2 linked regions of the Astyanax mexicanus genome follow. The protein of the gene in region 2 interacts with the protein of the main gene of each other region in a biochemical or structural test. Links are inferred from orthologs where the notes say so. Each region holds a gene or a part of one and is shown on either strand. Other genes may lie near its edges.

The links.
Region 1: the proteins of ube2g2 (region 2) and marchf6 form a complex in vitro, tested with the Homo sapiens proteins (2 studies listed by BioGRID). The link is inferred for Astyanax mexicanus from reciprocal best matches to the Homo sapiens genes UBE2G2 and MARCHF6.

The regions. Positions count from the first base shown.
Region 1 is NC_064415.1:39,737,092-39,747,616, reverse strand, and holds the start of marchf6 (E3 ubiquitin-protein ligase MARCH6), read right to left. Parts: upstream 4,829-10,525; 5' UTR 4,572-4,828; coding exon 4,553-4,571; intron 2,616-4,552; coding exon 2,516-2,615; intron 1-2,515. Other genes in the region: atpsckmt (ATP synthase subunit C lysine N-methyltransferase), read right to left, coding at 6,576-6,788, 7,636-7,686, 9,111-9,248. UniProt on the Homo sapiens protein: Endoplasmic reticulum membrane-associated E3 ubiquitin ligase that plays a critical role in mitigating endoplasmic reticulum stress, the regulation of cholesterol and lipid homeostasis, and ferroptosis.
Region 2 is NC_064412.1:25,902,383-25,912,443, forward strand, and holds ube2g2 (ubiquitin-conjugating enzyme E2 G2), read right to left. Parts: upstream 4,505-10,061; 5' UTR 4,404-4,504; coding exon 4,361-4,403; intron 3,836-4,360; coding exon 3,800-3,835; intron 3,710-3,799; coding exon 3,664-3,709; intron 2,573-3,663; coding exon 2,454-2,572; intron 2,000-2,453; coding exon 1,859-1,999; intron 1,508-1,858; coding exon 1,395-1,507; 3' UTR 929-1,394; downstream 1-928. Other genes in the region: cep20 (lisH domain-containing protein FOPNL), read left to right, coding at 4,965-5,055, 5,402-5,599, 6,305-6,389, 6,678-6,807. UniProt on the Homo sapiens protein: Accepts ubiquitin from the E1 complex and catalyzes its covalent attachment to other proteins. In vitro catalyzes 'Lys-48'-linked polyubiquitination. Involved in endoplasmic reticulum-associated degradation (ERAD).

The DNA of each region.
Region 1 (10,525 bases), on a different chromosome or scaffold from region 2:
AGTGACTCGTTTCCACGCTCCAAAGACGACAACCTTATTCTTGATCACTGCAGGCAAGGCTGGCGTGCACAGAATGAAGCTTTTTATTCAGGCTTAAAAGAAGTCATAAATTTAACTAACGTATAAAGCCAATCACTTCAGCCAATCACATCTAATAAAAAAAGTTGACACACAATCTTCAATAACAAAATGTGTGTCAGATTGCGTAGGGCTAAATTACTAAACTCTGTGCTGAGGTATTTGTTAAAATAGATTTTCTTCATTGATAAACAGAAACACAAACTTTTGTAAAACAAATTTCCATGATTTTTCCAAAACTTATCCAGGCCTGGGAATTGCCATTTTTCAATTCTATGAGATTTCAAGTCAGTGTACTCAGTTTGGGAAAGCATTTGAATTGTGGTTCTGTCACTACAAATGCATTCTGACTGCACTGTGTGTATTGCAACCCATACAGTATTGTATCTTAAATATACATGACACTATTTTTATCATATGCCCAGTCATACTGTAGGCCTAGAGATTGCAAGAAAACTAAATTAGGTGAAGTGGCAGGGTAATAAAGCTACAGATCGTCAGTAAACAAGCTGGCACGATTTCTCTATGCCATAAACATTCTGTGAAAACTGATTAAGGAGTCTGTATTCAGAGCATTTTAAACAGATCATTTTACTGAGGTGCAGTAAAACACTTAATAGTCGAATTTGTCTTCATTTGCACACTCACTGTTAAAGTCTTTTAAAGTAAGTGAGTACTAAGTAGAATCATGTTCTTGCTAATCAAAGTTTGTAGCACCTGCAGGCTGGCCATGAAACCTGTTCAATACTGATGCAGGCTACTTTTCAGGAACGCAGAAACACCACTCCCATCTCAGGTTGCATGCATTATGTCTTCAATTCCTTTCATTTGGTGCTCTGACTATCATTTATTGGCTGACTGCACCATCTACCTCTCTGTTCATGCTGATAAAAGCACAAGAGCCAATTAATAGATTTGTATCAATGGTTTTGTATCATGTGTCATATTCTGATAGTTTAACTGTGTTTATTTTGACAGATAATATACATTTCTGAATATATTGTAAATACTGCAAGTATTAAAAGAGAACTACAGTGTGAAATGGACTTAGGTTGTAGTGAAACATGATACCGGGTACAAACTTTTGTCGAAAAGCCCACCTCTGCTCACCCCCAGCATTCCAAAATACAGCATTTTTTAAGACAATGCTCCCAATGCTCCCAGGTGGGTTATTTTACAAATGTTTGTACTCGTTATCATGTTTCACTACACCCCAAGTCCATTTCTCACCAGATTTCACCTTTAAAGAAAGTGTCTAACAGCATATTCTATTACAAAGAAAATGTTGTTGTTTTCACACAAAATGCTAACTGTCCAAAAAAGCAACTTTACACAAGAAAAAAAAATCTTCGGCTTCAAGTCAATGTAAAAAGACTTTATTCCAAGTCATTTTACAGCATTCTTATCACCTCATTCATCATGAAATTCTGATGAAATTTTAATGGAAAGAACAATTCTTAAGAGGTGCACTGTCAAAAAGTGAAAACCAGCAAAGAAAGAGAAGCAAGGTTTCTGTGCAACAAAGAGGATAAGTAATTTTTGTCTGATTATTGTGCACAAATCCTATAGTAAAAATAGGCCATAAGTCATTTTGAGTTAAGAAATTCTTTTTAACAAACTAAAACCTACTGAAACCAGTAACTGTAGAAAGTACATTGTTTTTTGTTGTTTTTTTTTTAAATGGGTCTGTGGAGCCTCAACACGAATTCCTCTACAAAGTTTTATTGGTGAGAATGTATTTTTGTCCACTTACCAGATTTCCCCACTTTTATAATTATCTTTGTCTACAAAACCTTTATTTGGAGGTGTGCAAATTCATTCTGTTGCAATCAGGTCTTTGTTATGAAGAGAAGGCTTTATATAAACCCTGTTAAACCTGTGATTGTTCTTGCTCTGCCACTGCCGTGGCTGATTAAGTACGCCAGCCGTCAGTTTTCTTTTTTTTCTTTTTACATTGCTTTATAATATTTTTTTAATTATAACACAAAGATTTTGTCAAAATCTCTAGCGCTCTAGAGAAGTTTATAGAGGCCTTTCGTTGTTATGTCTCAAAACAGACACAAATCAGAGGCATTGTGTGAAAGGGTCGTAAGCAACCAATGTTAAACTGACCTTTTTTTTTTGTTTGTTTTTTTATTCTAAATTGTTGATAAAAAAAATATGCTCTTGCTACATCATTAAAGCAAGCATTACTGCTTGAGAACACATTTAAAGCCCGATCTGGTTGTTCAGCTTAATGTTATATTTATTATGACGGAATATTAAATTAGGAAGATTTTCTTCTGAAACTTTACACTTAAGACAAGCTTTTAAAGTTCGGCACCTGACTATAATGTGTCTGTGTCCTGAAAAGGCCTAAATATAGGTCAGTTTGGCACAGAAAACCAGTAATAGGACTGGATGCTCTGTGTGGAATGTGAGAAAAACTGGCACTTACCATTCTTGATGAATGAATTTAATACTTCCAGTGCAGACACAGGGGTGGTAGAGGGGTTTGTCTAGAGTTCCCTCAGACCGACACACTCTACATATGTCAGCTGCAAAAAATAAAAAAATAAAAATAATTAATATAATTAATAATAATAATTAATAATAACTAATAATTAGTATCAGCAGGTCTACAACTTTTTTGCTGCAAAGTAACAAAACATACTGAACATGTCCGTTCATTTTTAAGGTATTAATTATGCAGGTCACAATAATTACATTATCAGCTCATCCTTTAATATATGGACATGACGTTAATCGTTTCTGCTGTCCTCCATATTGCCCATTTTTTGTTGCCAAGGATATAAATGATGGGTGTAATTGCATTGTTAGGCTATAATATCATTGTATAAATTGGTAGCATAACAATATCTTAAAATAACAATTAAATCATTCACCTCAATAATTTCCAGAACAATCTATTGTTAAAAAAAAATGTCATCTTAACATTAATCATTGTGGACATGATTGTCATGGCAACATTGTGGTTATAATAATTTAATGGATGTATTTTTTCTGGCTCTGAAAAAAATAAGAGCCCACTTTAAAAAAATATGCGTTTCTTTTTTTTTATTTCACAATTTTGAAAACCTCTGGAATAAAACCAGGAGAAAGACAGATGATAACAAGCAATCAAACCAAGCTGAACTGCTGGAATATTTGCACCAGGAGTGCAGGCATAAAGTTATTCAAAAGGAGTGTGAAAGACTGGCGGAGGAGAACATGCCAAGATGCATGAAAACTGTTATCATAAACCAGTTATTCCACCATATTGATTTCTGAACTCTTAAAACTAAACTTGTTTTCTTTGCATTATTTAAGGTCTGAAAATATTTCAACATCTTTTTCTTATTTCTGTCATTTCTCTTTTTTTTGCAAATAAATGGCAATATATATTTTATTTGGAATTTAGGAGAAATGTTGTCTGTAGTTTATAGAATACAACATGCTCATTTTACTCAAACATAAACCTATGAATAGCAAAAACAGAGAAACTGATTCAGAAACTGAAATTGTCTCTTGTTTTTTTCCAGAGCTGTGTTACTTAGAAAATTCATGAGTTAAAATGACTGAGTTATTACTACTGTACGAATTGTACACATACACATACACACACAAGTCTCCATTGGCTATTTGGGGTTAAATAGCCACAACAACTGCCAAATGTTTTTTTTTTTGTGTGTTTTATGAAAAACATTTGTTATTTTAGGAATGTTTCGATTCGCAAGTGTGTGTTAAAAGCGAATGTTTTGATCCCCAGTAAATGCTAGTTAGCTAACCCTAGTCCACATAATTCTGTTGTGCTACACCTGACACTACTTACTGAACTGTGAGTAATATACTCAACGTTTTCCAGTCATCGCTGCAGATTTCAGCGATTTTGAGGAACCAGAAATATACGTTAGCTAAGCTAACTAGCTTGTAAGTTAGCAGTGGTGGTAAAATAAAACTGCTGTGCTGAACCATTTAGTGCTTAACTAACCCACTTTCTGAGAAACCTCCAGAAAACAGAGCTCACCCGACTGACTCTAACAGTGCTAAAAGCTAGCTAACAGTCAATACACACTATAAATTGAATACCTCACTGCGTTAGCTTAGCTAACCTTGTTAGCTAACCAGTCTGTTTTAAAGAAAAACACAGCTCAAATATCAGTGCGGGGGTCTTTGTTGACTGAGTTCAGGGCGATGACATGTTTACTAGCAAAGCAAAGCTAGCATTAGCTAAGTAGCTAAATAGCTAGCGTTACGGTTCACAGCGCAGGGCCACATAGTCCAGTCTAACTTGGAAGCTATAAAGCTAGCATTAGCCAACCCAGCTAACCCAGCTACAGCTAACTAACAGCAGCCCGGCCTGAACGGCGGTGTTTGCGCCCCGTACTTCGGATCCATATTGAAACCCAGGCTAACCGCTCACATTAAACAGCCGTGCCCAGAGCCCGTCTAATTTTAGAGCCCAGTTAAAGCCCGTTAAAGGTCCGGAGCTTACCCTCTTCTCCAGTGTCCATCTTGTCGCTGGTCGTGACGCACTGTCCTCTTTACAGTCCGCTCATAACCCCGATCCGCTACAGCTGGAAAACAACAACAGCTTCCTAACGCCTCACCAACACACACATCTCCAGACCAGCCGCACACCGGACACCAGCTCCGCACACCGGACACAACCGCTCAGTTTAGTGTTAGCTAACTAACCCCCTTCAGACGCCCACAAAACCTGTGCTCGGTAAAATGTCAGTGAACTACATCTCCCATCAACCCCTGGAGCACAGCTCAGCACTGTTTCCGGCAGGACAGCGCACGAGGACAGAGGCTACGACAGATACTACACTCTGTGATGGATTACGGGTGTTTAATAGTGAACTATATAGGGGCTAGACTTTACCTCACTTTTGAAATCATTTAGAAAAATAAGAAATGTAAAAACTGTAAGAAGAACTGTAGGAATTTATAATGAGCTGTCACTGACCTTTTGTTAATGTATCCTATTTTTTTTTTTTTTTATTTAGGCCAATTGTGCTCTCTCAGGGCCCCTGCAGCCGATGGCAAGCTGCATGAATAGGATTCGAACCAGTGATCTCCCGATCAGAGTGGAAGAGCAGTTTTTTCCCATTGCATTGGAATTAGCTGTTACTTTGCCCCAATGACTCTAGTACTACTGGTTTTCCAGTAGTAGGCAGGCCAAGTTACTGTTTCATTGGTTTATAAACGTGTTCCTTGGTTGGCATGGTCTTTTCCTTTGAACAACTCTCAAACAGTGTTATGTTTTTTATAAAAAAAGAAAATACATGATGTCCATTGTAATGGATGCAGGGTGTGAAAGGGTTAATTGTGGATGTTTAAACTCCTGCTCATTGCAGAGAAAATACTACATTTCTAAAATGTTACAAAATGCCAATCAGATAAAAGTGAAAGCCTTGTGTGTTACTTATTTTATGTATTTTTATTTGCTTATAAGAAGTGATTATCTATGTTCTACTAACCTTTGGGATTTGTATTATTTGGGAGTTGTACTATTTTTACAGAATGTATTACAAAATAAAATAAATGAATGAATTTATTAATAAAAAATGTGCGCTTGTGTGCTCTGTGGGCGTGGCCAATGTGATGTCACTCTAAAATCCCTAAAAGACTTCCTGGGTAGGATACTTTGGTGTATTCTCTGTTGGAAAAAGCTGCAGGGAGATTTGAAGCCCTTCTTTCATCTGCTCCAGTATTCAGACAGACGACAAGATGACTAAACAAAATCAGTCTCTGGGTCATAGAGGAAAGGAGGAGGATCAGTAGGAAAAAGTAGAAGTTTCTGTAAACAGCCATGAAATAAAATGTACTGATTAAATTTTAAATTGGACCACAATATGGCTTACATACCATATAATGCACTATTTCTATATATAATGAGGAGGTTATATATAATGGAACAGAGTTACAAATGAAAGGGGTGAAATTCTCCCCCCAAGAATTGGGACAACCATTCATTCAAGAAGGTGACCTCTGGCTTGAATAATTTTACCATGTTCTTTCATAGTCAGGAGCCCCCCAAGGCTGTGTATATGTGTTAATGTGTGTCGTGCTTATGAGTGAATCAGAGAGAGAAGCGCCCAAAATATACTATATGGTGGCACAGTATTTGGGCAAAGAAGCCATTACTTACATGATCAAAGACAGTTAAATAGAGCAAATGGAGTGTTTGAAGTTTTCAGAACTATTATGTGCTACTGAATATATAAAATGCATAGAAGATAAACTGTAATATCATACAATATAGTGCTTAAGTGGTGCACGGTTGGGGCATTAAACCCTATATTGGTGCATTTAATTCCAGCATAATTAGTCTCTAGTTTGACAATAGATAATACAAAGGAAAGATGGACTCACTTTTGTATAGATAATCTTTTCTTATTTAATTGTGTGTAATAAAACTATTAACATTGAATTGTTAACTTAACATAATAAACAGGAATCCTCCTCCAGCCCATTTACTGTAATAGACAGTACATTCAGTGCAAAGTGCATCATTGAGGGAGAGTCTTGCTGTCTTCAGGGTTGTTCAGCGGCTTTGCTGTTGTCACTTGAGATTTGAATGTCTTAGCATCATACACCCACACAGTGTCAATTCCTTCTCCAGCCATGTGGTCAGGAGTCCATGTGGGGAACGGGAAGCGGCAGGCCACGACTTTGGCTGAGGTCTGAAGCTCTGACTGCAGTTTGGCTTCTAGTTGTTCCATCTGTGGAGTGAATATTTATAACTTCATTTAGAACATGTACTTGACACAAATGGACAAATCCTCAATGGTCTGTGCTGCAGTATCACAGTAAAACTCCACGATTGCAGCACAGTACCCATAAGGATTTTCTTTCTGTATATTTTATTTTGGAAACAGGAAATTAATGACTTGAATTTAAAAACACAGATTCCACCGCAGTGATATAATTGTAAAGACATAGCAAAGGCTTATAAAAGTGAGGCTTAGTCAGGTAAACAATACCTGAGATCTTTACATTTAGATAAAGATCTGAGAACTGAGATCTGAAAAACTGAGAATGTTGAGCATCTGTCAATACACACTATAAACTAATGACTTTTCTTTTGCTTTGTGTAATATCTGTTAACTAATCCTTTCATAGCACTGTACACTAGGGCTATAAAAAATATTGACATATCATGATTATGTATTGCAACTGTATAGATTCTCAAAAATACAGCACACATTTTCAATTAAAAGTTCACACGTATTGTGTTTGAACACTGAACAGTAGAGGGCAGTGCTTTCTCAATTTCACTATTCTGATTGGATTAAAGTAAACATTTTCTTAACTCAGTCAAAGAACTAAATTGACTGTATAGCTCATGTTCATGCAAAAGCTTTACACTGCATTTAAAGGGAAATGTAATTATTTTATTACAAATTGAAAGATTTTTATGTCGCCTTCTCTAAATGTCTCTAACTGATGTAGATTGTGGCACCCACTCTAAATCACTGAACATAGGCCAAATAAGATCCCCCCAAAAAATATCACAAATCTGTCAATGTATTAGACCGGATTGAGATATAAAAATGTGTGTATTCTTACCATTTGGGGAACTCCAAATATGACCACATTAGAGTACTGTGAAAAACTGACCTATAAAAGAAAAAAAAGAGACAACAATAAGAAAGAATAGAAAAGGAAACATTATATTTTATGTGTACGCTAAAGGTATTGAGAAGTACTGTAAGGTACTGTCAGAAAAACAGAGTATTAACAAACTCTCAGTTATTCTTCAATGACAAATACGTTTTTTAAAATGACCTACTCAGACCTTTTAATTGTTTGGGGTGATGTCTCTGATCAATCAAAAATAGAAAGGTACACAATGCAACAATTGCCATGACCCTTTAGAGACACATATTTAAAGTCTTTGCTATCTCCAACCTTAACAATCTTACAATGATTTGCAGCTGGCCTCCAATGCACTTTAACATGAAGATTAAAGGAGAACTCTAGTGTAAAATGGACTTTTGGTGTAGCAACACATGATAAAAAGCACTTACCTTTGATGAATAGCACAACTCCATTCTCCCACAGCGTTCCGAGATCCAAACACCCTGACATGGAGCATAATTTACCCCGATAACTTGCTTTTTCCACAGTTATCCAGGCTCAAAATAGCTCCACACCCCTTTGCTAAAATCCAGAGAGCCCTAACATTTAAAACGAGGCATTAATAACTTAAAAAGTGCAAAAGGTGCTTATTAAGACCACTGTTTACATCTAGCTTTAGCTCCGTGCGCCACTACCACTCTACTAATAATAACACAGACATATATATACATAGACTCCGCATAGCGTAGCGGCCGGCATCTATGTATATGTCTGTGTATAATCTATGTCTGTCATTATCAATACAAAGATGGCAGTGCACGGAGCTGAAGCTAGATGTAAACAGTGGTCTTAATAATTTAATGGTTTTTAATAAGCTTCTTCTGCACTTTTTAAGTTACTAATGCCTCTTTTTAAATGTCAGGGCTCTCTGCATTCTAGCAAGAAGGTGTGGAGCTACTTTGAGCCTGGATAACGGTGGAAAAGGCGATTTATCGGGGCAAGTTATCCCCCGTGTCACCCAGTCTCAAGGGTGTTTGGACAAATTGTTAAAATTTCTGGATCTCGGAACGCTGTGGGAGAACGGAGGTGTGCTCTTCATACAAGGTCAGTACTTGTTATCTTGTTTTACTACAGCAAAAGTCCATTTTACACCGGAGTTTTCCTTTAAGTAAGGGGGTTGTTACTGTTGACTTTATATTTAATTGCTCTATTGTATATGCACATCAGGAGCACAAACTGTTCAGATGAATGTCAGATATAGATAAGATTAAAATAGTCTGCCTAAAGAAATGAAACTAGGTGAGAAAACCAGATGTGGAGCACTTTATATGATGTGTATGAGGTAAAAGTGTATGTAACGCTGTAAATATATACAAAATGTATAGAGTTTAAAGATTTTGTTTGAGGAGGTCTAGGGTAACCAGTTCTGAAACTGTTTGTGTGAGTGCAATCCTATTGCTTACTTTCCACAGGTCTGATAAATAAAAAGAGGTGCGGTGATGAACTCCCTCCCTCCAAGCTCTGTAACGAGAGTACAACACCAGCCACGGATTCAGCTCAAAGCCAACTGCCCTGAAACCCTCTTTTGCTGCAGCTATAACCTGTTGGGGACAAGATAAGTAGAGAAGTAGCTGGTAAGAAATAAACCAAGCATTTTCAGTGTTTAAGTAATCTTTTTTTTTTTCGTTTTCAATGCAATAACAAAAAATAAATAGTGGTTTAACATAAACAATATAATTAAGACACTACGTTGGATTTATTTTACAGTCTCAGTTCTGGTCTATTTGTTTTTATTGGACATGTTTAGTTATATTACCCTTCTAGTAAAGAACAGTAATAGTTAGGTCAGGGAGGGGATTGGTAGGAAAAACACTTTTTTTTGGATAGATACATGCAGGTACAAGTAATAGTCCACACACATATCCAGAGATTTTTAAAAACAGTATAATCTGCAGCATTAAGCATAAGTTTTGTTTATTACAGCATCTTACCTTCACTTTTAATTTAATAAAAACATGCACACCGTAAAATACAGTAACTTAAGGTTACATAAAAAATAGGATATGTATGGAATGGTTTAATAACCAAAAGATGATTTGTCGCCTGAGGGACAACATTTATGCCATAGAGGGTTAACAGATGATAATTAATCCAAAGAAGTGTGTGGTATTATCTCGTCACTATTTCCTCTCTTTACTCCTGTTTCTCCAGTTTTATTGTTTACATTTTCCAAATAGTATAATAATTTCACTGTAACGTGTAAGCTTGCAACAAGATTTAAGATAATAGAAAAATGTATAAGCGGCCAAATATCCTTCTTTACATATTCTTCCACATGTGCATGTTTTTATTTTTGACCCCCTTGTATGCCTTGTTGTACTGGATGCAGATATTTCTTGTATACATAAATAACTATAAATATTTAAATGTTCCCAATATTACCCTGGCTTAGCGCTTAGTGGCTCAGGATTCGTCAGTGTTACGCTGTTGGGCAGCACTATGTCTGTCATTATCAATACAAAGATGGCAGCGCACGGAGCTAAAGCTAGATATAAACAGCGTTTTTTAATAAAGTTATTGTGCAGTTTTTAAGTTATTAATGCCTCATATTAAATGTCAGGACTCTCTGGATTCTAGCAAGAAGGTGTGGAGCTACTTTGAGCCTGGAGGGGTGAAATAAGCGCTTTATCAGGGCCAATTACCCCCGTGTCATGCAGTCTGAAGTGTGTTTGGACAAACTGTTAATTATCTGGATCTCGGAACGCTGTGGGAGAACGGAGGTGTGCTATTCATCCAAGGTAAGTAATTTTTATCATGTTGTACTACACCAAAAGTCCATTTTACACCAGAGTTCTCCTTTAAGTAAGGGGGCTGTTAC
Region 2 (10,061 bases):
TTTAATAGAACACCTTTCTGCCTACTACTCTCAAAAAAAATATCACATACCACACTGATTTTTATACTGAAACTTATACTACTTTCACCAACACAGATCAATATTACATGTGCCAGTGCTGCAGATTTGCCATTTGTAAAGCTTTAAACTCCAGTTATTAGCATTTTAAACATGCTCTGGCAATAACTCTGGCATCAGCTCACACTTTACTGTCAGAAATCTGTCACCTAAAGGAAAATGAAACATACAGGTAAACTTCTTTGTTTTTTTGTTTTTTTTTTTTAGAAAAATGCATCACTTTACTGTCAAATATCCAAGGAATACTGGCCAAGTAGATATTTACTATATACAGCTCTGGAAAAAAAAAATTAAGAGACCACTTCAGTTTCTGAACCATTTTTTTCTGATATTTTATAGGTATGTGTTTGAGTAATATGAACATTGTGGTTTTATTCTACAAACTGTAGACAATGTTTCTCCCTAATTCTAAATACAAATATTTTCATTTACAGCATTTATTTGCAGAAAATGAGAAATGTCTAAAATAAGATGCAGAGCTTTCACACCTTAAATAATGCAAAGAAAACAAGTTCATAAAGTTTTAAGAGTTCAGAAATCAATATTTGGTGGAATAACTTGTTTTTAATCACACTTTTAATGCATCTGGGCATGTTCTTGACTAGTCTTCCCACTGCTTTTGCACTTCTGGTGCAAATATTTAAGCAGGTTATCTTAATCCCGATGAGAATCTTTGGGATGTGCTGAAGAAAGCTTTGTGCAGCCAACAGACACTACCATTACAAATGCAAGATCTTAGTAAAAAAAGTATGCAGCACTGGTAAAGTAACCCTCATTAGAAGAACACTTCTTACCCATTGATATATCTACTACAATGTAAGAGACAGTCTGAAATCAGGGACTCGAGATGTTTACGAATCACAGTTAACTTTATTGTCGTATCTCTCCTCCACTGCAGAGGAACTCAAACAATCACTTCAAATCTTGTCAAATAAATCTCTCACCGTTTCATATCCCGTTTCCTTCTGCTTGTCATAAGAATATAGATTTAATCATTTTAATATGAAGCACTGAAACATGCACCACAGCATTCAGACAGCAGACTGGACAACATCCACTGTTTCAATGGAAACCAAGAAACAGCATTTCAATCCTTTAGTCCAGAAAGGAGCAGAAATGCTGCACTGAGAGAAAGTCCACTGATGTAGGAGGTGTAATTTATCTTTAACATCCATCTGTCCATCCATCCATCAGTATCAGTGAGAGAGGACAGACACAGATAAAGTGCTCAGTGTGATGAAGGAGGTTATGGAGAAGTTTGTGTATGTGTTTGTGTATATGTGTGTGTGTGTGTGTGTGTGTGTGTGTGATAGAGATTAGAGGCCCAGGGATTTGCGGACTATCTGTTTGGCCAATCGGTTGAACTGCTCTCTGTCCTCTCGCCACATCTTGGAAGCATCCACATTTGCTCCACTCTCATCATTTGGTTCTGAAAAGTAAGAAAAAGGAATAGCACCATTACCAACACTTCCATTAGTCAGCACACAGTTAGCCAGAATCAGAGTCGGATTATGGAGAGCCTGCCAACTTCCCATCTCCCCAGTTATATTAAAAAATGACTGCGAAACACTAGAGGCAGCCTGCTAGTAATCCCTCAATTAATGGGGGTAAATGGAGCTAAACTACTGGGATTCAAACTAGTGTTCTCGCAATCATAGTGGTAGCGTCCCAATGTTGTAAAACAAATCAATTAGTAAGTGCGTGGTGTTTCAGGGACAGATTTGTTCACACTGTTTACATCGTTCCCAAATAAAGGTCAATTAAGTGTGTGTGTGCATACCTGCAAGCATGCTGACCACAGACAGAAGGATTTTTTCAACACTCTGTACCGGACTCCATCTCTCAGCGCTGCTTTCATACCCCATTGGGTCGTCTCCCGGAGCATGCAGAATAGAGATACACACTCGGCCATCTGGATAAACTACACACACAATCAAACAGAAATTGTTTTAGTGAGAACGGTATCCAGTTCTTGTTAAAAACAAACTTCTAATCAGAAGCTGGGTGGATCTTCAGACCTAAAGTATTCATTCAAATCATGTGTCAGTAAACTCTTGCTGGTACCTGTAAATAACACTCAATAAAGTGGTATTTACTATTTGAAACTCTTTATGTTTTCTGTATGTTATGGCAAGTCCTTAAATGAAGACTTAATATGAATGAATTTTGTTTAATATTTTATAGTGTATTTAGACCACTTCATGTCTTGCTTTGAGAAATAATACTGATCTCCATGTTTTGCAGGAAAATCTTCCCCAAAACACACAAAAGTTGTATTTAATAGTTAACCATCTGTCTATATAACCTTTCAATTAACACGAAAACACTGCATGTTTTTCTAATCAGTTAAAGAATAGAATGAGGGATAAACTTACTGTTGGGGTGGAACATATCACAGGTGAATTTCATCTTGGGAGGACTGAGAGGGTAGTCTGATGGAAAGCTAAGAACAGCCGGGAAAACACCTCCTTCAAAACACGTGTCCTCAGGACCCCTAAAAGAGACAAATGATAATAATAAACTCTCTGCTTGCACTTATTTTTACAGATATATACCTTACTCTCATCATTATCAACACCACTAAAGTAAAAGATAAACAGAGCTGATGATTCCTCTTTCTTCTAGGCCTTGTCAACACATTTCTGAATATTTTTAAAAACAAAAACATCACTTATAAAATCTCTCCACGAACGAAAAACCCACTCCAAAACATGCATATGAGCAGGGCAGCCGAGCAGGGGGAAATAATATCTTATGGAAAATCATAAAAGTCAAACAGCTTAATGTTCTGACCAAACACATGCAAATAAAATACCTTATATTTTTTTTAAAAGACTTTATATTGTCACTTTTTTTTTAAACGTTTTCTTTCACTCTGAGACAAAAAGGCTTGCATAAGCATGCTAACGCTGCATAAGGTGATAGAGACCTCAAAACACCACAAAGAAAAATTTAAACACAGTTTATTCCCAAATTATACATTGTTAGGATTATGAAGGATCAATGGACAATTGTATTGTTTACCCCAGTTATGTTTGGGTTTAGTTAATATATCGTCCCAAGAAAATGTTATTGTGACAGACATATAGGGAGCAAGGCAGCATTTGTGATTTAGCCAGACACATTTATTTTATGAAGTTTAATTTTCCCTTTTAAATGACAAAAAGGTTTAAAAAATCTCCACCCTAGAAAGCATTTTTAAATTACAAACAGCACATTATTGTAGATAAATGAGATCAAAACACATAAAAAACGTTCTTGTTAATATCTGTATATGTTCAGGGGCAAGAAAAAGCATATTGTCCAGAACTCAGAAAGTCAGAGTGGACTAAATAAGGGTGCAGCTCAATAAACATAGCCCGATTAAACCTAAAAGGGAGGGAAGGCAGCTCTATTACAGATTTGTTTATGTGCCATGCCGATGCATTAGTCTCCAGAACAGTCAGACTTTATTAGTATAGTGTATGTACTTCACTCCTTCTGCCCATGAATAAAGATGATGTCAAACAAGTCAATATTTAGTATCTGCAGTGGAGCCAGCCCCCCAACTGAACAAGCTAAAGCAGCATGAGAAAATAGACTCACATGATCAGCGCCTCCCATTCAAAGAAGTTCTCCTCATTTACAGGACCTGCAACACACACACAGAGACACACTTCAGCTACTGTTTGCTGGTTCTGTCCGTTCCTATATGTATGTAAAGCTGCAGGTGTCTGTTTACCTGCAACGATTCCCTCTGGAGGATTCAGGGTCAGCTCTGATGAAAGAACACGAACACACACACACACACACTTAAATATACAATCAGAGACAAACCCACATCATCTAATATCTAATATCATTATCAATAATATCAAGAAGATCATTTCAACAAGAAAATTATGAAATTATATATAGCTTTAATAACTAGCTACCTAACTTAACCTATCTATGTAGGTTTGCTATTTAGCTGGAATAATAATAAACAATGGCCAGCTAGCCAATAAAATAAAAACAGTTTCCACTAAAACGTGTTTCAGCTTAGTTTACGCTTCATTTAAGGTCTTATTAAACGTCCGGAAATATTTATTTCTAATATTAAACATTAACTCGGGTCAGTTTAACAATAATAATAATCAGCTCAAGCTGGCGTTAGCTAACCCTGCTAAAGCTAGTTAGTAACTGGGGGAGTAGCACTGCCAGCTAATGGCTCAGCGGCTAGTCGCTGCTAGCTCCCTGATAAAACCGCAACAGGCCGCGCTTATTTAACTCTCTACCGGGAATCAATAACGTGTTTCCTTACGTTTATATTCAGCCATTAATCTTTTTAGAGCAGTTCCTGCCATCACGGCCCGTTCTCTGTGTGCAGCCCAGTCCACTCACATCTGCAGTACCAGCGCTCACTCACAGGGGGCGCCACCCCATCACAGAGCACCACCGACATCTGCGCAGTCTGACTGACAAAGAGTACAAAATAAAAGCCCCAGAGCGTATCTTGCTTTACATTTTGTGCTCATCTCACTCAAATCTCACCTGCTTGCAATCATATTTTTTTTTTGCAGAAATATTATTTATTAATTAAACACAGACAATGTATTGTCTTAGTTTATCCAGAGCGCTAAAGTTGATTTCAGCATGCATGTAGGTTGCAAAAAATATAAATAGATAAAAACACATACATTAAGATCATTCAATTCATATAATAAACACCGGTTAACTGTTTAAAGTCACCTTTAAATTTCATAAGATAACCATTAGTCAGTGTCTAGAATCAGTCACAGCTCGCTGTTATGATCTTTAACACTACGATAACATGATTACTAGCCGTTTTATGCATCATTTTATGTTATTTTTAATGCATTATTTAATGTAAGACTTTTATTATGTAATTTAATAGAACGATATCGATGGTCGCAGCGCCGCCTGTAGCGCGTTCTGTCGGGCAGAGCAGTAACAACAGCGCTGCCTCCATGGCAACAGTGGCGGAGTTAAAGTCCGGTAAGTTTTGTTTAAATCTGGGTGAATAATCAGGCTATTAACGATTAATTAGATAGTGTAATGTATTGCACAGATGTATTTTAAGATCGAGCATTTGCACTTCGGTATCTGAAGGACAGCAGCAGCTTGGCTACTAGGAAACAAAACACCAAACTGGAGTTGAATGTTCCGTTCCACCTTAAATTTGGTAGCTGTAACAGTAGGAACGTCTCTGGCGCCAGATTAGAGCTACGGCGCCGTTTAAGGTGGAATTGAAAGTACGAATACACACAAACTTCTGTTTTGACATTTAAGCGTGTTTGTTGAGCTTTGTTTAATTATGTTCTGTCATGTGTTTCTGTTGCAGCTCTGCGGGAGGCACTGGAGGCGCGGGGTGTTTTGGGGCAGCTGAAGGCCCGGATCCGATCTGAAGTCTTTCGGGCACTGGATGACCAGAGTGAGGAGCGACCCCCCTTGACCCATGAGAACTTGCTGATTAATGAACTGATCCGTGAATACCTGGAGTTCAATAAGTACCGATACACGGCATCTGTTCTAATCGCTGGTGAGCTGAGGAGGGGTGCTGTACTCAATTTTATTTCTCGTTTGGTTAATAATAAAGGCTGGGTGATAAAACAGTAATTTCACGTCATGGTCTTTGCATCACAACACATGTTACAAGCAAGGTTATGTGGTACTTTATTTTCGAAAGGATTTGGGAAATTATGAAGATTCTTACTTCCTCTGCCCATTTCCCAGTCCTATTTCCACACCTCAAGTTGCCAGGTATGGAACACATTAGCAGGCAAACACAGTGTGCTGCTGCAGATGGGTTATCAAGGCAGTGAGAATTTGAGACAGGTAAAGTGTAAATGGTAACTGCATTTAGTCACAGTGGAGGACCAGACAGGCCTTAGATGTTTAATACATCAGTAGCAACCGCATGACCGAATTATATTGACTAACTTTAGCAACAAATAGAAACCTAATTTGCCATTGCAGATGTTTTTGTACTTGTTTTGCACTCTGATCGGCATCCTTAACCAGGCATCTGTCTGGGGCCTTTTTACACTTCTATATATTTAGCACATATTGTTCCTTTAACTGAGTATTTATTGTTGTAATATATCTGAGAAACTACCCCAGTGCAGTAATTAAAATCAGTAGATAACATGATCAGATCTCACAGCCTCAGGTCTGCAGTTTCATCACTCATAGTGTCAACATTAAAAAACATTTTAAAGTACTAAAAGTGTTGAGTGTGTTTCAGAGTCAGGTCAGCCTGAGGTTCCTCTGGACCGGCGGTTCTTGGCAAGTGAGCTGAATGTTGTAGAAGAGCCGAGTGCTGCAGCAGTGTAAGTATTCACACTCATTTACACAATGCACCTGTCCCCTTACTACAGAGCTCTCCACAGTTTTCATATTAAATTTAGTAAAATGTTCTGGGAATCATTTTGCCAGAGCCTTTGCAGGAGAATCAGGTTTTTAAATCCATCACTTTTTTACCGCTCATTTCTGGGTGTAAAACAGCTGTAATATTCCAGCTTCTGTGCAGTTCAGTCATACCTTTAGACTGATGCAGTTTAACTCCTTCAGCTTCTTCAGAACTTCTTTATATGACTGTGTTTCTGTTTGTTTTTCAGTCCTCTGCTATATAGCCTGCTCTCACACTTCCTCAGCAGTGCAGACAGCGGAAAACTTTTCCTGAGGAACCCTCCGAACCCCCAACAACACCCCCAACAAGCCAATAAGGGTGACGGAGAGAGTTTATAAGCTCTCAAGGGATCAGATCAGATTATTCAATTACTGTTTACATGTTAAAGTGCCCAAACAGCTCATTTTAATGTGTTTTTGCCTTGAGTACAAGTTAAATGTTGTGTGTAACAGGCAATTTAAGAGTGTGTGCAGGTAATGAGATGTTTATTAGTGTAAAATATTAATATTAATTCTCATGCATTGTCTGTTTTAATGCTGTTTTATATTTTCTCGTATTAAACCTTCTTTGTTGCACAGTAATATTGTCTCCGACTGTCTGTAATTCATGTGCTGACCACCGGGGGAGCACACAGCTGAAAGATTTTGGCTGTTCAAATGATTTACACAAATCCACATGAATTGATCATAATTCATTTTTTATTTTAATTTACTGCCTGGAAAGTTTTGATCCACGTTCCAAATGAGTCCTCTACAGGAGCTGTTTTAATCCTGTTGGGAACATTCTGTTCTTTTGTTTTATTTAGTACTGAAATTAGTCCTGTACTGACATTCGACCTCTAACCTGCTCTAATACACCAGCGGATCATGATCATTGAGTGGAAGTAGGAATCAACTGTTCTACAACATCTCCCAAACAAGCTTAAATCTGTGCAAATGTATTATCTTACTAATTTAATGTAAATAATGTCATTTAATTATCCCCCTTTAAATTGAAATTGAACACACACACATATATATATATATATATACACTCACTAGTATTTGATTATGAAGTAGGTATATATAAGTGTTAAAGCGGGGAAATACTCATATATGCGAAATATGTACTTAATCCTGTCATTTTCTGAGTGTGGTTACAAAGCACAATGCAATGCAAAACAGGGAGTAAGGAACTATTCAGATACTGGCTGTTTCTGTCAGTTTAGAAATGCTTTAAACTTTAAAATGATTCTGAGGCAGGAAGGCACCATATCAATTATGAATCAAAGTTTACTAATCTTGCCTTGCATTTTCTTGAACAAAATGTTAATAGTAAATGAGAACACGGCATTCATAATCATTTATTGAGCTGGCAATACCTTGGTAGATGTGCCACCCCTCAGCAACTAGCAGGATTCTCCAGCATACAGATGACTGCTCCCTTACGCCTGCAAATCATACAGTATATAATATACAATTATCTGAAATTGATACTTTATTTGTTATTTGTGCCTTTGCTTGTGCTCAGTAAAAATCAGTTAGCAGGTTTAGGAGAGTTACTTGAAAATGTACTGTAAGTTGTTATAGGCTACAGGTTACTGTTAAAAATGTAATGTAAATGTAAATGTCTTTTGACATTTCAATCTATTTATTTTCTTTTACACTAAGCTTAATATTCTCCACCTAAAGGGGTCATTATCACTCAACTAGCTCCTGTGTGTCATTAAAAACATGAAAAGAATAAAAACGAAAGCAAAACCACAACCTCCTGTAGTATGTGCTAACCTGAACCCCCCTAACACTGACCAGAAATAAGCTTCCCTGTTAACTGTGTAAAAATGCCCAAACTGCTGAAAATAGATCCTATTACATTGCCTGGTCAAAAACAGTCGCCACCAAAAAAAAGGTCACACACTCTAATATTTTGACCGCCATTAGCTTTGATTGCGGCACTCATTCGCTGTGGCATTGTTTTGATAAGCTTCTGAACTGTTTCAATCCAGCGTTGCATTTAGTTTACACCATTAAAGATGGTAGAGTTTGACCACTGCGCAAAGCCTTCTCCAGCACATCCCAAAGATTCTCAATGGGGTTAAGGTCTGGACTCTATGGTGAACAATCCATGTGTGAAAATGATGATCTCATGCTCCCTGAACCACTTTTTCACAATTCCAGCCCGATAAATCCTGACATTGTCATCTTGAAATATACTGATGGAATAACCTGGTCTATATTCAGTATATTCAGGTAGTCAGCTGACATCATTCTTTCAGCACATACTGTTGCTAAACCTATACTTGATCAACTGCAGCACCGCCAGATCATTTGCTTACTTAAATCCAAGTGCCGACTTTTTTTTTTGGTCAGGCAGTGTACATGGCAAACACTGCTTACATATTCTGAAATCAGAGACAGGTAGGTTCCGAAAATATATTTCATTTTAATTGCTAACACAGCTATCTGCTAACTGGTCTCATAAACTGAACACCAGAATAATGTCAGGAATCACAGCTGTGATTTATTTACATCACTGCCCTGACTTGTGAGACAGTGAGGCATTGAAAAAGCCGCTCAGTTTTGGACACAGCCTAGTATTAGTGCTGCGGTAATTAGCACTGTAGCATGACTGAAAGAGAGGGAATAGTGAAAGTGGTGTATGTTCATCAGTGTCAGTGAAGACATGAACACTAATAAAACTTGCGGTAATTAGTTGTTGTACAATGTGACATCCATTACAGGCAGGCCCAGTTTTCTTCTAAGGATTGACCAGGTGCTGTCATCCACTTCCCTTAATTGGTCTTGGTTCTGGCTGAGCGCAGTTAGTGTGTGTGTGTGTGTGTGTATTGCAGGTTTGTAAACATAGCACAGATATGTTTCTGCGCGGTCCTGTTAGTTGTAACAATGCCATTAGTGCTGCAGAAGCTGAACCATATTTAGTCACTTGGTCTTTCCTTTAAACACAGAATGCAGACGGGATTCCAGCCGGACCCCACTGACCTTATATGGCACACCACACGTCCAACAGTACATCTTCCTCTCTCTCTCTCTCTCTCTCTTTCTCCCTTACTACTCTACTCTTACTCTCCTTTCATTCTTTTAATCCACCAGGCCACCGAACACTTTCTAGGAAAACAGTAAAACATTACTTTGGAAACATGCAGGCAAGGGCCATCAACTGCACCCACAAAATACAGCAGTTTACTCTCGTCTTTTCATCTTATAGCAGTTAACTATTGTCTATTTAACCTACAGCAGGTCTTGTCTACTCGGCCTACAGCAGTTTAGTCTTGTCTACTTAGCTTATAGCAGTTTAGTCTTGTCTACTTAGCTTATAGCAGTTTAGTCTTGTCTATTCACTCTACAGTAGTTTAGTCTTGTCTATTCAGCTTATAGCAGTTAACTCTTGTCTTTTTAGTCTACAGCAGTTTACTCTTGTCTATTCAGCTTATAGCAGTTAACTCTTGTCTTTTTAGTCTACAGCAGTTTACTCTCGTCTATTCATCTTATAGCAGTTAACTCTTGTCTATTTAGCCTATAACAGGTCTTGTCTATTCAGCCTACAGCAGTGTAATCTGGTCTACTCAGCCTACAGCAGTTTAGTCTTCCAATAT